2 linked regions of the Notamacropus eugenii genome follow. The protein of the gene in region 1 interacts with the protein of each later gene in a pairwise test. Links are inferred from orthologs where the notes say so. Each region holds a gene or a part of one and is shown on either strand. Other genes may lie near its edges.

The links.
Region 2: the proteins of PSMF1 (region 1) and FBXO7 interact in binary tests that used the Homo sapiens proteins (3 or more experiments, as listed by UniProt). The link is inferred for Notamacropus eugenii from reciprocal best matches to the Homo sapiens genes PSMF1 and FBXO7.

The regions. Positions count from the first base shown.
Region 1 is NC_092872.1:432,792,034-432,799,413, reverse strand, and holds the start of PSMF1 (proteasome inhibitor PI31 subunit), read right to left. Parts: upstream 3,012-7,380; 5' UTR 2,723-3,011; coding exon 2,594-2,722; intron 1-2,593. UniProt on the Homo sapiens protein: Plays an important role in control of proteasome function. Inhibits the hydrolysis of protein and peptide substrates by the 20S proteasome. Also inhibits the activation of the proteasome by the proteasome regulatory proteins PA700 and PA28.
Region 2 is NC_092874.1:289,989,683-289,996,692, forward strand, and holds the start of FBXO7 (F-box only protein 7), read left to right. Parts: upstream 1-3,943; 5' UTR 3,944-4,143; coding exon 4,144-4,265; intron 4,266-4,730; coding exon of another isoform or gene 4,731-5,347; exon of another isoform or gene 5,348-5,516; intron 5,517-6,926; coding exon 6,927-7,010. Other genes in the region: uncharacterized protein, read right to left, coding at 2,849-3,083, 4,731-5,347. UniProt on the Homo sapiens protein: Substrate recognition component of a SCF (SKP1-CUL1-F-box protein) E3 ubiquitin-protein ligase complex which mediates the ubiquitination and subsequent proteasomal degradation of target proteins and plays a role in several biological processes such as cell cycle, cell proliferation, or maintenance of chromosome stability.

The sequences.
Region 1 (7,380 bases):
CTCAGGGTCTCAGTTTCCTCATTTATAAAATGAGGGTGTTGGATTAGAGGGTCATCTTCAAGGTCACTTCCAGGTCTAGATCTATAATCCTATATTATCCTGCTTTCCACTTCAAATCAATTGGTAAAACTGTAGTATTTTAATAAATTGGCTGGTGACAATCAACATGATATAGTAGAATCTAGATCGGGGTGCCTTGAAGCTTCACTTGTTCTGTGAAGTTTGGATTCAAAGGGCTGCACTTCCGGACCTATAAGGCCCAAAGTGGCCTCGAGGCTGAAGGTTTCCCACTCCTGAAGAGTCATTAGGTCTGGATTTAGATGTTCTAGTTCAGTAATTACTAGTTATGTTGATCTTACATATGTCATTTCCCTTTTTGAGACTTAGTTTTCTCATCTATTACTGGTACTTCTTTACCTTACAGCTGTTGTCAGGACAGCATCTGTAAACCATAGAAATGTGAGTTATTATTAACTGGCTAATAAAGTGTGAGGAAAGCAAAATGGAAAAAGTAGATTTTTATTTGAGGGTTCTTTTGCTAAATAATTTCTTTCAAATAATATTCAATAACTGTTGCCACCAAACAAAATTTATTAGGGATCTTCTGGTTCCTTCATTTTTCCACCCCCTCCACCTATTGGCAGGGAGAAGGGAAAGGTTTACTTAGGAGTTTTTAAAACAGTAGCTAACTGTGGTCAGCCCTTCCCCAAGCAAAGTGGAATATGGATTGGAGGACAAACCACTCCAAAATTCATCTCTTACACTTGCCAAAAAGCCAGAAAACAAAAACAAAAAACAAGATGAAAGGTCAGCTTAACCTAAGTCCCTAAACCAATCTCAAAAGATAAACAGACCAGCCATATGCCTGACTTTATCAAACCATGACACAAACCAACAGAAGGTACAACCCATGCCATTAATTTGAGTTCAAATGTTGATCCTTCTCAAAGGGACTGATTTAAACTTGTTTTTTTCCTGAACTTAAACACTAAATAAAACAAACATTTCCATTCTACAACATAACAGAAAAATAGGATTATGTATAAAACTGCAAATTTCTATTATATACAGAGGCTGTTTTCCTTTTAAGCTGTAATAAAGTGAACACATAACTTTCAAATCTGTCTTGTCTGTTTTCCTCCTGACTTTCCTTCTGTTCTTCAGAACAACACTCCCATACTGGCTTTGTCTAAAAATTTATGGTTCATTCTGCACCTTCAATCCATCATATAGGGGCTAATTTGGCAACAGGATCAGGGATAGGAGAGAAAAGGGATAGAAACAAGAAGCCACCAGAATATTACTTCCTTAAGGAGGAAAAGCAGCTTCTTTGGCCTTGAATGGCCACAAGAGAGATGTTAGGTAGAAAAACCCAAAGTCTTTTGATTTGATTTTAGAATGCCATCATTGGCTCAAAGTAAGAAGAGACTCTAGTAGGGATTTTATCATTCCATCCCCCTTGCCAGCACCCTTGACTGGTGGTCACTCAGCCTCTGGCTTGGACTCAAAGTGAAGGGGAACTCAAAATAAAAAAAAAAAAGCTGCATGCCCTAAGTATATGCCAATGACTATTTGGAATTGAGAAAGTATAGTGGAAGGGAGAAAACATGTTTGGCTGTGTGGAGAACTCATGGAGAGGTGGTGGAGAGGCACCAAGTATGAGTGTTTTTGAAGAAGTATTGGATTGTGTGTGTGTGTGTTTTCCTGGTCTCCAGTAAGGAAAGAGTAGGAAGACAGTAAGAGATGGTGTGACAAAGTGTAACGAGAGCTGATTTAGAGTTGGAGGACATGGGTTTGAAACCACTTCACTGCTGGGCCACCACTTCCTCATCTAAATGAGAGTTTGAAGTGACCACCTCTAAACCTCCTTCCAGCTGTAAATCTATGATTCTGTTCCCACTTCATGTGAGCGTGTGTGAGGATTTAGGGGAACGTGCGGAGGGGCAGCGCACTGGGTGTGGGACAGTCTGGCCGTTTCAGGCATTGCTCACTGTGAGAAGGGGAGGGCAGCAGGCCCGCCATACAAGTTTCCTAACTGAAGTAGTCAGTCACCTAGTGTTTAACAGATACTACGTGCCAGGTACTGCGCTAAGCCCTAAGAATACAAAGAAAGGGGACAAGGAGCTCAGTCTAGGGAGGGAGAGACAACACCCCACACGTAGAGGATAAATTGGGGAGTCTCGCAAGGCAAGCCCCGAGACGAAAAAGGGCTTGGGAAAAGCTTCTTACAGACAGCTCAGACTTGAGGGGGCCAGCGGGAGCCAAGAGGGAGAGCACGCGGAGGGTGCCCGCAGGCGGGGGAGAGGGGCAGGGGGCGCCCAGGCCCGGGCCCGAGGAAGGCTGGTGTGTGGCAGCCTGTGGGCAGACGCGGAGCGCCGGGAGGAGGGTGTTCGTAAGCGCGTCGCAGCCCTGTGTGCCGGGGACCCAGCGGTACAGGGTGTTGTGGGGGAGGGTCTCGGTCCCGGGTAAGCAGCGTGTCTGGAGGGGGGGGGTCAGACCAGGCTGCACCCGCTCCGCACCAAGGAGTCAGGGTACGTGAATGCGTGTATGTGCCCGGTGCCCGGGGGAGCGGGTCTCCGGGCCGGGACGGTACCTGGTCGCCGGTGCCCAGGCCTCGGTAGTCGTGGGTGATGAGCTCCCAGTGCAGAAAGCAGACAAGCGCGTCCTGGGGGCAGGTGATCCCCGGCGCTGCCGAGGCGTACAGCAACTCCAGGCCGGCCATGACTTCCTGCCGGCCAGCCGCCAGTCTACACAAATCCCAAGTCAGCCCCGCATCCCGGTCCAACGGCCCGGCCTCCCAGGGGGCCCCGCCTCCGCGGCCGAAGGGAAACGACGCGCAGACTGCGCAGGCCTGGGCTCCCGCAACCAAGGGACCGGAAGGAAACTCGGTGCAGCCTCCTCGGGTTCCGGAGCCGGAAAGGAACCCTCTCCTGGGTGTTACGGTCCGGCACGCGCATGCGCGCGCGCACGCGCTGGTATCTGGGCCGCGGCCCCCCGAGGGCAGGCGGGAAAGGGATGGCGGTGTGGCGGTGGGAGCGGCCGGCGCGTGGCGCGCGTCTCCTTAGGTCCCGATGGAGGGCTCTCCAGACGTCTCGAGCTTGTGTTTCCCAGGAGGGAATTGGAGAGGAGGGGACGGGAGAGCGTGAGCTCTGACCGCCGCTGTAAGCCGATCCAGACTAGCCCAGACTGAGGTTTTGATTGAGGGGGGATCCAGGCAGATGCCGACGACTCAGGGTTAGTTACGTCGTGAAACCAATACAGTGGAAGTCAGGGGCGATGTCCCCTTTTATCTCTCCCATTTCCCCTTCCGGTCTACCGAGGAAACAGTTTTCTCAGGGAATCCCTAGCTACTATGTCAGTTATAAATGGTCCGGACCTACTGACTCCCAGGAATGACTCCTCAGGCCTCAAAGAGACCTGAAGGCACTTAAGGACAGTAGATTCTGAAGGCTTGGTGTTCTATCAAATAGAGAGAGGGAGGGAGGGAGGGGGAGAGAAAGGGAGAGAGGAGAAAGAGCGAGAAAGAGGAGTGAGAGAGAATGAGGGAAAGAGTGAAAGAGGAGAGAGAGAGGGAGAGAGAGACAGAGAGAGAAAGAGGGAAAGAGAAGAAAGAGAGAGAGAGAAAGCGAGAAAGAGGAGTGAGAGAGAATGAGAGAAAGAGCGAAAGAGGAGAGAGAGAGGGAGAGAGAGAAAGAGGGAGAGAGGAAAAAGAGAGAGAGAGAAAGTGAGAAAGAGGAGTGAGAGAGAATGAGGGAAAGAGTGAAAGAGGGGAGAGAGAGAGGGAGAGTGAGACAGAGAGAGAAAGAGGGAGAGAGGAGAAAGAGAGAGAGAGAAAGCGAGAAAGAGGAGTGAGAGAGAATGAGAGAAAGAGCGAAAGAGGAGAGAGAGAGAGACAGAGAGAGAAAGAGGGAGAGAGGAGAAAGAGAGAGAGAAAGCGAGAAAGAGGAGTGAGAGAGAATGAGAGAAAGAGTGAAAGAGGAGAGAAAGAGAGAGGAGAGAGGGAGAGAGAAAGAAAGAGGGAGAGAGAGGAGAAAGAGGGAGAAAGAAGAGTGAGAGAGAATGAAAGAGTGAAAGAGGAGAGAGAGAGGGAGAGAGAGACAGAGAGAGAAAGAGGGAGAGAGGAGAGAGAAAGCGAGAAAGAGGATTGAGAGAGAATGAGAGAAAGAGCAAAAGAGGAGAGAGAGAGGGAGAGAGAGACAGAAAGAGGGAGAGAGGAGAAAGAGAGAGAGAGAAAGCGAGAAAGAGGAGTGAGAGAGAATGAGAGAAAGAGCGAAAGAGGAGAGAGAGAGGGAGAAAGAGACAGAGAGAGAAAGAGGGAGAGAGGAGAAAGAGAAAGCGAGAAAGAGGAGTGAGAGAGAATGAGAGAAAGAGTGAAAGAGGAGAGAAAGAGAGAGGAGAGAGGGAGAGAGAAAGAAAGAGGGAGAGAGGAGAAAGAGAGAAAGCGAGAAAGAGGAGTGAGAGAGAATGAGAGAAAGAGCAAAAGAGGAGAGAGAGAGGGAGAGAGAGACAGAGAGAGAAAGAGGGAGAGAGGAGAAAGAGAGAGAAAGCGAGAAAGAGGAGTGAGAGAGAATGAGAGAAAGAGTGAAAGAGGAGAGAAAGAGAGGAGAGAGGGAGAGAGAAAGAAAGAGGGAGAGAGAGGAGAAAGAGGGAGAAAGAAGAGTGAGAGAGAATGAAAGTGAAAGAGGAGAGAAAGAGGGAGGGAGTGAGAGAGGAGAAAGTGAGAAAGAGGAGTTGAGAGAGTATGAGAGAGAGGGAGAGTGAGAGTGAGAGAGAGGAGAAAGAGCGAAAAAGAGGAGTGAGAGAGAATGAGAGAAAGAGCGAAAGAGGAGGGAGAGAGAGAGACAGAGAGAGAGAAGAATTGGCAGACTCTTGGGGACAGACCCCTCCTGTAAGAAGGTCTTACAGAGAAATCAGTACATGGGGAAGGAATGAGGGGGAAGGGTGAACATTCAGTCTCTCGGTTAGTAACTCATTCTCATGTCCATTTGATCAGCACATCCTATCTTAGGCATGACTTCTAGAATGCAATTGCCTGGTTTCTGAAAATATACCTTGGGCTTTCTGGGGATGGGCTTGTTTCCAGAGCAGCTTCTCCTAGCAGATCTACTTCTCTGGTTCAATTCACTCACAGAGATTCTTAGATGTTTCTGCTAAAATCTGCCAGTTACAAGATGCAATACAGTTTAGCACAGCCTCTGAAATTTTACTTTTAATTTAACTTGTTACATATCCCATGCTGTTCCTATCTTTATTTAAACCCTGTATCCCATAGATACTGCCCACAACAGACTGCAGGAAAAGTTTTAAAAAGAAATCCGTGAGGATCTGGCTTATAAAATAAGCTCTTCTGGTTAAAGATTTAATATTCACCAATGCAGACATATAAGCTAAGGTTGAGTGCTTTTTAAAATTGCCGTTGACTCCACCACCGTTTAACTTCTTTAGACTAGAGTTCATTTCGTTTATTTTTTACTTCATATTCAATCCTCACAAAGGGAAAAACTTCAGTTTTACTATCTATAACTGCCCTGTGATATAAGTTAGCACATTGTTATGTTGATATGTTTAGGAAATTCAAATGACTGAGCAGAACTACTTGGTTTGTACAGAAGATGAACAGTATAATTGTATATCTAAAATCCTGAACCCAATTTTTAGAATTTGTTATTAGAATGTGCTCGAGGCCTGTATAGCCCATTGAAATAATTTCTATTTTACCTATCTATCTACCTACCTATCTATCTATCATTGCTCTCTCAAAAATTTCCACTCATTTTCCTCTCTAATTAAGTCCCCCCCTCCTTAGGTTAATTTCCTCCTGAAGAGGATGAACAGCACTCTTGGAAAGTAAATGACTTCTGTGCCTACATGCAATGGCTATGCAAATGAATTTACCTAAGAGATACTTATTTTACACCAATTGTAATAAAAACGACTGGGGTGAGATGTGTAAACAAGCTACATAATTAATTCCAAATTGTATATAGAGTACAGTATATGTCAAGTGAGTTGTCTATGTAAAATTTGGTCGGTTAAAACCATGGTTCAAATGAAATAGATATTACACGAATATAGACTACTGCTCTTAACTACCATTAAAACTATGAAGACATATTTAAGGTAGCTCTTATATAGTTTGCTTGCATTTCAGGGAATATTCTGTAGGCAAGTTTATTTCAGGGACCTAACCTGATCCATGATTATATAACTATTAGCAGACAGATAAACCCAAGTACTCTTTAACTTAGTTATTAAGATATGGGAAGGACTATAACTTCAGAATGAATAACTTAGAACTTATATACTTGCATTTTATTACGGTGACTTAGATGTCAGTATTAGTCTATAGATAATAGAATAAGTATTATGTTTATACTTTTACTGCTCTTCTGCCATGATTATAGAAACTTACCATAGAAGGAAAAAAGGACATAGCTATAGTAACGGAAGGTGCTCCCCTAGCTCTGTGTTACTTCCAAGCAAGAGTCATATAGGTGACTTTTTGTATAGACAGTGTGCCACAGCCAGGTCCAGAATTAACCAGGTAGGAAAATTTCTTGTATGGGAAACTAAGTACAAAGGATCTTACCTTAGCCTTCCCAGGGTTACCTATTACCTTCTCTTCCTCTACCCCCACCCCCAAGTTCAGGGACAGATATCCATTGGTAGCAGTTTATAGATGTCATTTCCATTGGGCTACTGACATTATGGAGCATTTGATCAATGATATTTCTTGAGGACTATACCTGGAATCAGACACAGAATAATATTAATTGTGGTCCTACAGGATTTAACCTGAAGCAGCAAAATTTCACTCACTTTACTCAGCATCAGTTCATGTAAGTCTTTCCAGGTTTTTCTGAAATTTGCCTGCTTATCATTTCTTATAGCACAATAGTATTCCATTACATTCATATACCACAGCTTGTTCAGCCGTTCCTCACTTGATGGACATCTCCTCAATTTCCAATTTTTTACCATTGCAAAAGAGCTGCTATTAATATTTTTGTACATGTGGGTCCTTTTCCCTTTTTTATGATCTGTTTGGGATACAAGCCTAGTAGTGGTATTGCTGGATCAAAGGGTATGAACAGTTTTATAGCACTTTGGTCATATTTTCAAATTGTTCTCCAGAATGAGTGTATCAGTTCACAGCTCCACTAACAATATATTAGTGTTCCAATTTTCCTACATCTTCTCCAACACCCATCATTTTCCTTTTTCTGTCATATTAGTCAGTCTTCTAGGAGTGAAGTGGTACGACAGAGTTTTAATTTGCATCTCTCTAATCAATAGTGATTTAGAGCATTTTTCCCTGTGACAATAGATAGCTTTAATTTCTTCACCTGCAAACTGCCTGTTCATATTCTTTGACCATTT
Region 2 (7,010 bases), on another chromosome or scaffold:
AACTTCTGAAACCCCCATTTTAGCTTGTGGTATTCTTTATAGGCTATTTTAAGTTTGTGTTGGGTTGAATGGTCTTTGAGGCTCTCAAAGACTGTTTTGTCTCCACACAAGCCAGATAATGTCACAAACAGTGGCTCTCAGTCCTCTGAGAAATGCTCTGAAGCCATAAGAAAAAAGCCAGGCCCAAGGCTCATCCAGCCTTCAGGGTTAAGAATGATGCTCTTGTGTGGTGCACAAATCAGGCCTTTCTGAAACTGGAATGAGTGGAGCAGTGATAACACGGAGCATGTGAAGGTTTCCATTTTATTTCTTGAAATAAACTTGGCCTGACTGGGCTGGTCCCCTAGTGCCAAAGTGGAGTGACATGAAATACTTGTAATCCCTCTAATAGTTAACAAGAGGCCTACTTAGCCATAGCCAGCGAAGGATGTTCAGAGTATGGAAGAAGGGATGTTTGTCCAGACAAAGTGTGGACGCCCTTAAGCTGGGGTTCCCAGTCTTGCTCATGCTATGGCCCAAACAAAGCATCTGGGAGTCTCCCAGTTCCCCTTTTTGCACCCCACTTACCAATAGCTTTAACCTCAGTCCCTGGAGCCAGTTTTCAAGGACAGTTTCAGTACCTTTGGCGGAAAAATTATTTCTTTCTGTTCTTCAAAGATGGTGATTTCATTTGTGGGGTGATCTCTTCTCCCACAATCCCCTCTGTGATCCTGTAGATGGCTTTGAAGAATGACTGTGGTCAGAAAACTTATCACTCGGTAAACCAACCTGATGTTTATATGATTCTAGATCCAGAGTAAAAAAAGCCTGCAGAGACCACATCCAACCTCATCATTTTACAGATGAGGAACCTGAGGGAGGTCATAGAATCCTAGATCAACTGGACGGGAACCAGAGGCCATTCCACTGAACCCCCTCATTTTATAGATGAGGAATCCAAGGCTCAGAGGGCTGGAGTGACTTTCCTAGGGTGACATTGTCAGAGAGACTTGAACTCACATCCTATGACCCCAGAGCCAATCTTCTAGGTTGGTACTTGGACAACAGACATGTAATTCATCACTGGGTTTGTACTCAGAATCTTTTCATTTGCTAGAACCTGCCTGTGTTTGTATTCTAGTGGCAGATCCTTCAAGGCCCCAGGGTCATGCCCTTGTCATGATGCAACATTAGGGGAAGATTGTAATTAAGGATAATATATGGGATTATATGACAAGTGAATGGAGAAGCAGTGGGAAATAATGGATAAAGTACTGGCGCTGGAGTCAAGGAAGAGCTGAGTTCAAATTTGACCTCAGACACCAGCTACGTAACCATGGGCAAGTAATTTCTCTGTGCCTTGGTTTCCTCATTTGTAAAATGAGGGAGTTTGATGAGGTGGCCTTTAAGTAAGGTCCAAACAGAGCTATATGAGAAACTCAGAAAGGAAGAGATCACTAAAGATTGGAGGAATCAGTGAAGGCTTTTATAGCAGCAGTGGCTGACTTAGGATTTCAGCAGGCTCAGACATGGACGATGAGAGGCAGCGTGCCCCTGGACAAGATTGGGAATGAGAGGTACTGTGCTCCACAACAACCCTGGGAGGGAGGGGCTGTTATTATCCCCAGTTTACAGTTGGGGAAACTGAGGCAGACAGCAGTTAAATGACTTTTCCAAGGTTACACAACCAGTAAGCGTCTGAGGCTGGATTTGAGCTCAGGTTTTGTTGACGCGAGGCCTGGTGCCTTATTTCCACGCTGGCCACTTCCACACTGGCTACTGTCCAAATTTAGTTCCTCCTTAACTGAAAAATGGGGATAATAGTAGCACTTACTGTCTAGGGTTGTTGGCAGGATCAGATAAGATAATATAGTGTCTGGCCCACAGGACGTGTGATATAAGTAATAATATAAATATTATTACTATTAAGTTTGGTTAATTACTATTATGTTATGCTTTTAATTACCATTACGTTTATTAAATTTATTAATGTAATAATAAAATACAAGTATGCAACATAATACAAATCTATATAATACAGAAACATAAATATAACAGAATAAGGAAATTAATAATATTAACGTAACATATTATTATAGCTCCAAAGTACACTCTCCTCTTGATCCTGCACCTGTGCATTTGTTTCTAAGCGGAAGCAAGGAGGAGAGCACTGGAAAAGTGGACAATGCAGGTATTGCCATCTATAGGTAGAAACTTTATTACAATGGTTTTTACCTTAATCTGGATACAAGACAACATGCAGAGAAATCTTATTACAAAAATTGGATCACCATTCTTAACTTTGCTCCCCCAATTTTTAAACAAAATTATCTTTTTTTCTGAATTTAGCAAATACCCAAAAAGAACACTTTTGCATATGAAGATTTGAGAAAGGATTATATGTGAAAGCTTTTTTTTGCATGTGTAATCATTCCAATATGTTACTTTCAAAACTATCCTACTTTTCTACGTTTCCTTCGGAACTTCCTTCTCCTCTCTTCTGTACATTTTAAAAAACGTTGCAATGACTTTCTTTTTTGGGGGGAGCCCTATCACTAGCTCCCTCAGCTCTCCCCCCAAATAAACACAATCCTTATAATACACACGCATAAACAAAACAAATTCCCACATCCCAACATGGGTTTCATTCTGCATCTTGAGTCTTTCATCCCTTTACAAAGAGATAGTGAAGAGCTTCACCCCAAGCCCCCTGGACACGATCAGAGTCCTCAAGTCTTTCAAACTTGTGACAACAGAGTTGTTATTACAGAAGCTGTTCCACCGATCCTATTCATTCTTCATCATTTCCAGGATGTTTACAAATTTCTCTGAAACCATCCTTTCCATCATCATCTAATCTAGCCCAGTCCTATTCATTGATGTGCCCTATTGATCCAGCCATTTCCCTACTGATGGGCACAGCCTTAGTTTTTGCCAACATGCAAAAGACTGCTATGAACACTTCTGTACGTGCGGGCCCTTTCCCTCTTTCTTCTATTTCTTTGAAATATTCCATATTCCAGTGGGCAGAGGGTATGTGCAGTTTAGGGGCACAGCTCCAAGTTGCTTTCCAGAAGGGCTGGACTCTGGGAACACTGTGTACTCTAAAAAGAGAAAAGTAGGTGTATGGTTTCACATGGAACTTTTTTGGGGGGTCGTCCTGCTATGAGTATAGAAATGCTCTTTTCTGGTGGATAGGCTCAGAATAGAAAAATAAGAAAAAATTCATGTTGATTGATTAAAGTTGGCATGTCTTTTTTCCTCTAGGTTAACCCAGCCCCCACCCCATTTTTGGGGCTCCCTTCAAAAGCACCTTTTTCAAGAGGCCTTTCCTGACCCCCCCATTACAACTGTCCAAAAAGGGAAATGGGTTTTCTTATTAAGTCAGATTTACCGCTGGATGGTGCTAAATTAAAATATGAAACTAAAATTTAATATTAATTTAATAAATTTAATCCAACACCCTGATTTTGCGAAGGAGGAAACTGAAAGCCAGAGGTGAGTGATAAGCCAGCCTTTAGGTAAGTATTTAACGATCGGATCTCGTCTGCTCCTCACAGCCCCCCTGGGGGGAGGTGCTCATGCCCCCTTTTTACATGAGGCTACACGGCTCGTGCAGGGCTGGATTTGAACTCGGGGCTTGGGAGGCGTCAGGGGCGGGATTTGGGAACCTGCCCCCAGCCGGGCGCGGGCTGCATGCCCACGTCTCGGGCACGCCCGCGGGGACTCGGGCTGGGCCACGGGATGCCCAGACTCTGCGCTCACAGCAGCGGTACTCCTGGAGACCGGCCGAGGGAGGCTCGCGCCTGCGCAGTGCCCTCAGGAGACGGCGGAGGTGTAGGGGCCGGTGTCCGGCGCTCCTCCCCCTCCCGCCCGCTCTCGAGGGCGCGCACGCAGCACAGCGGCGTCCCTCGGCCGCGCGCGCGCGCTCTCGGGGCCGCGGCCGCTGCGGCCCCGCCACTCCCCCCCGGCGCCCGGGGTCGGCGGCCCGACAGCAGGGGGCGCCCTCATGGGAGGGGGCGGGGGCGGGGCGGAGCTCCCGTGCCCCGGACCGAGGCGGGCGGTGGACAAGGCGGCTGAGGAGGCGGCGGCGGCAGCGTCCCGGTCCCTATCCTTGTCCTCGGCCCCGCGGCGGCCCGAGGAGCGACAAGGAGCCGCGGCGCCATGAAGCTGCGGGTCCGCGTTCGGAAGCGGACGGAGCCGCTGGAACTGCCAGGCGCCGAACCGACGCTCGGGGAGCTGCGCGCGCACCTGCGCCAGGCCCTGCTCCCCGCCTGGGGCTACAGGTGCTGCCGCCAGCTACCGCCTGGGAGGGAGGGGGAGGGAGGGGCGCATGCGCGGGGCCGCGAGAGAGAGGAAGGGGCGCGTGCGCGGGGCCGCGCGAGAGAGGAAGGGGCGCGTGCGCGGGGCCGCGAGAGAGAGGAAGGGGCGCGTGCGCGGGGCCGCGAGAGAGGAAGGGGTGCATGCGCTTTCCTACCTAGGCGCAGGGGAGAAGGGGGACGTGGTCTGGGAGGCCCTGGGCTCGGGTGCGGATGTACCCCTCCGCCGAATGTACCCCTCCGCCGAATGTGTGCGTGTGAGCGCATTGCACTTGGCATCCGGGGCCTAAGGCTACACTGAGCGTGTGCCCGGGGTTCGCATCCGTGTGGCCCACGTGCGGGTATCTGTGCCCCCCGGGGTGTTGGCGAGCGACCCGCTGTGCGTATCAGTGCGCGTGCGCCCCTCCGGGCACGTGGGGCTCCCCTTCGTACCTCGGGGTCCGAAGGTTGTGTGATGCCGGGGGCCGTAGAGGCAAGCCCGCCGCACGGAGGAGCCTCGGGATGGAGGCCCCGGTGCGGGGCCGGGGTGGCCGAGCGGGCCGGCCAAGAGCCGTGCCCGGGCCCCCTAGTAATGGGAAGGAGCCCCGCGAGGAGTGGCCGGGGTGACGAACTCGTGCAGCCCTGGTCCTGCCGTCTGAGAAGTAAATGAATGGCGAGGGCAGTGCCCGGCCCGGCGAGGGCAGGCGGGAGTGGTAGTTGTGGCCATTGCCGCCGGTGCCCCCAGATGCTCCCGTCCGGACCCCTGCTGAGTTGGGCAGCCCCCCCGGGCCTGAGCTTGTAAACAGACCGGGCGGTTTCACTTTTCTGCCCTCTTCTCGTCCCTGCGAGGAAAAGGAAACTGGAAGCAGAGGCTCCTTCCCGTGTCCCCCTCTGATAAGGGGATGCGCCGAGAAGGCGGTTGAGGCACGTCTGGAGGGTGGGAGGCGGAGGCGGAGGAGGTGCCAGGGCCCTGGTGCTGCCCAGAGATAGCGGCCCCGCCGGGAGCCCGCGGCGGTGCGTGGGACTGCGTGGAACCACGTGGGGACGAGGCTGAGTGGCCGCATGTCCATCTCTTTTATGTTAGGTTTTTGTCGATCCCTTTTTTCACGACCCAGATTCCCCCTCCATCTCTCCCCCAATTCCTTTCCAGAGAGTTACCTCTTGTAACAAAAAGAGGAGAGAAAAAGAGTAAGTAAAGTCAGTATATAGTAAAAAAATGTGACTTGATTGCAGTCCCTGCAAAGGCCTTTGGGATGTAGGAGGGTCTTTAGGCCTTTACGTCCCTTCTGCAGCTTAAATGTCTGTTCTGTTTTTAGTGAACACAATGTTAACAATCCCCGCAAAGACCTTCCACAGCAAAAACAAAAACCTCCTGCCATAGTCGGTGCTTTCCCCTTGGTTACATTACACACATGAGCTGTGCTCCTCCCTTCCCCCACTGCACAAAGTCCCTGAGGGCGGAAAGCCCCTTCACCTGCCTGCTGAGCTGCGCGGACCCCCTGCTGTCCCTGTGAAGGGCCGGGAGGGGGGAGCGCGGTCTGGCCGGGTTCTCTGCTGTGTCACAACATCGCTGCTGCGGTGTGTGCTCTTCTGCACCCCTCTTTTCTGATGAACCGTTCCTCCAAAGGCATCCGTTGATTTGTTGGTTCTTTTGGAGAGGTTTTTCCCTATTCCTGCCAAAGTTGGCACCGTGGTTATTTGAGCAGCTGGCAGGTTTTCTGCATTTTGTTTACAGAAGCATTTTGCAGATAGAAGCAGTCGCTTGTTTTCTGATAACCAGGAGTAATCTCCAGCCATTTAAATTTACAATTTAAAAATATGTATCACTAGCCATACAAATTAGCCCCTGAATCTGCTGAAATAGAAGGAATTTAATAAATAAAAGAAAGATCAAAAGCTAGTTTTCTTAAGCAATTTAGGAAATGAAGTTCTATGAAGAAGGAAAATTCTTTCCGCAGAATCTGACAAATGATGTTTTAAGTCCCCAGTTAACCCTCATAGACGTTGGTTGCCACTTCATCCAAAGGCTCCATAAATGTGCTTAATGGATCGTCTTATAATTTTTAAAAGTTATTGTTTACAACAGTGTTGGTGTTGGTCTTGTCATCTGTGATGGAGCTGTGATTGGGGTTCTTTGACTCTGACAGAGCCTGCTTTTGGGCCCAGAGAGGGCTGCTGGCCCTCTTGTTTAAAGATGATGCTCCTGACTCACCATCTGGGATGCCCGTACTTGGGGCTATTTGTGTAACAGTGGTGATGAATTTGCAGCATTTGCACACTCTCACTAGGCCTCCTTTGTGATTAATGGTGTACACCTGGGAAATAATGCCTGGGTCAGGTTGGAGATGCAGTTGTTCCTGGAGACAGAGGAAAGGAAGCTGCTTTGTGAAGGGATTGAACCCGTGGCCTCAGCTTCTCTAGCGTCATGATTTCACCAGTTATGTGAATCTTCTGAACGTTTCCTGTGGCAGAATCAGAATCACTTTATAACTGTAATGATACAGTTCTAAGTGATACGAGCAAGGCTTCTGTCAGCTCCCAGTCCCTGGGGTTTGCTTTCTGCGGTCATACCACACGTTTGCTGTGATTCTGAATGCATGATTAAAGCTCATGGTATTAACTGTCTCCTTATCCGTTTCATTTTGGCAGTTCTGACGTCCCGTTTTCAGTAACACTGAACAGCAGGGATGCCCTCACTGAAGATGAAAATACCTTGGCTTCCTATGGGATTGT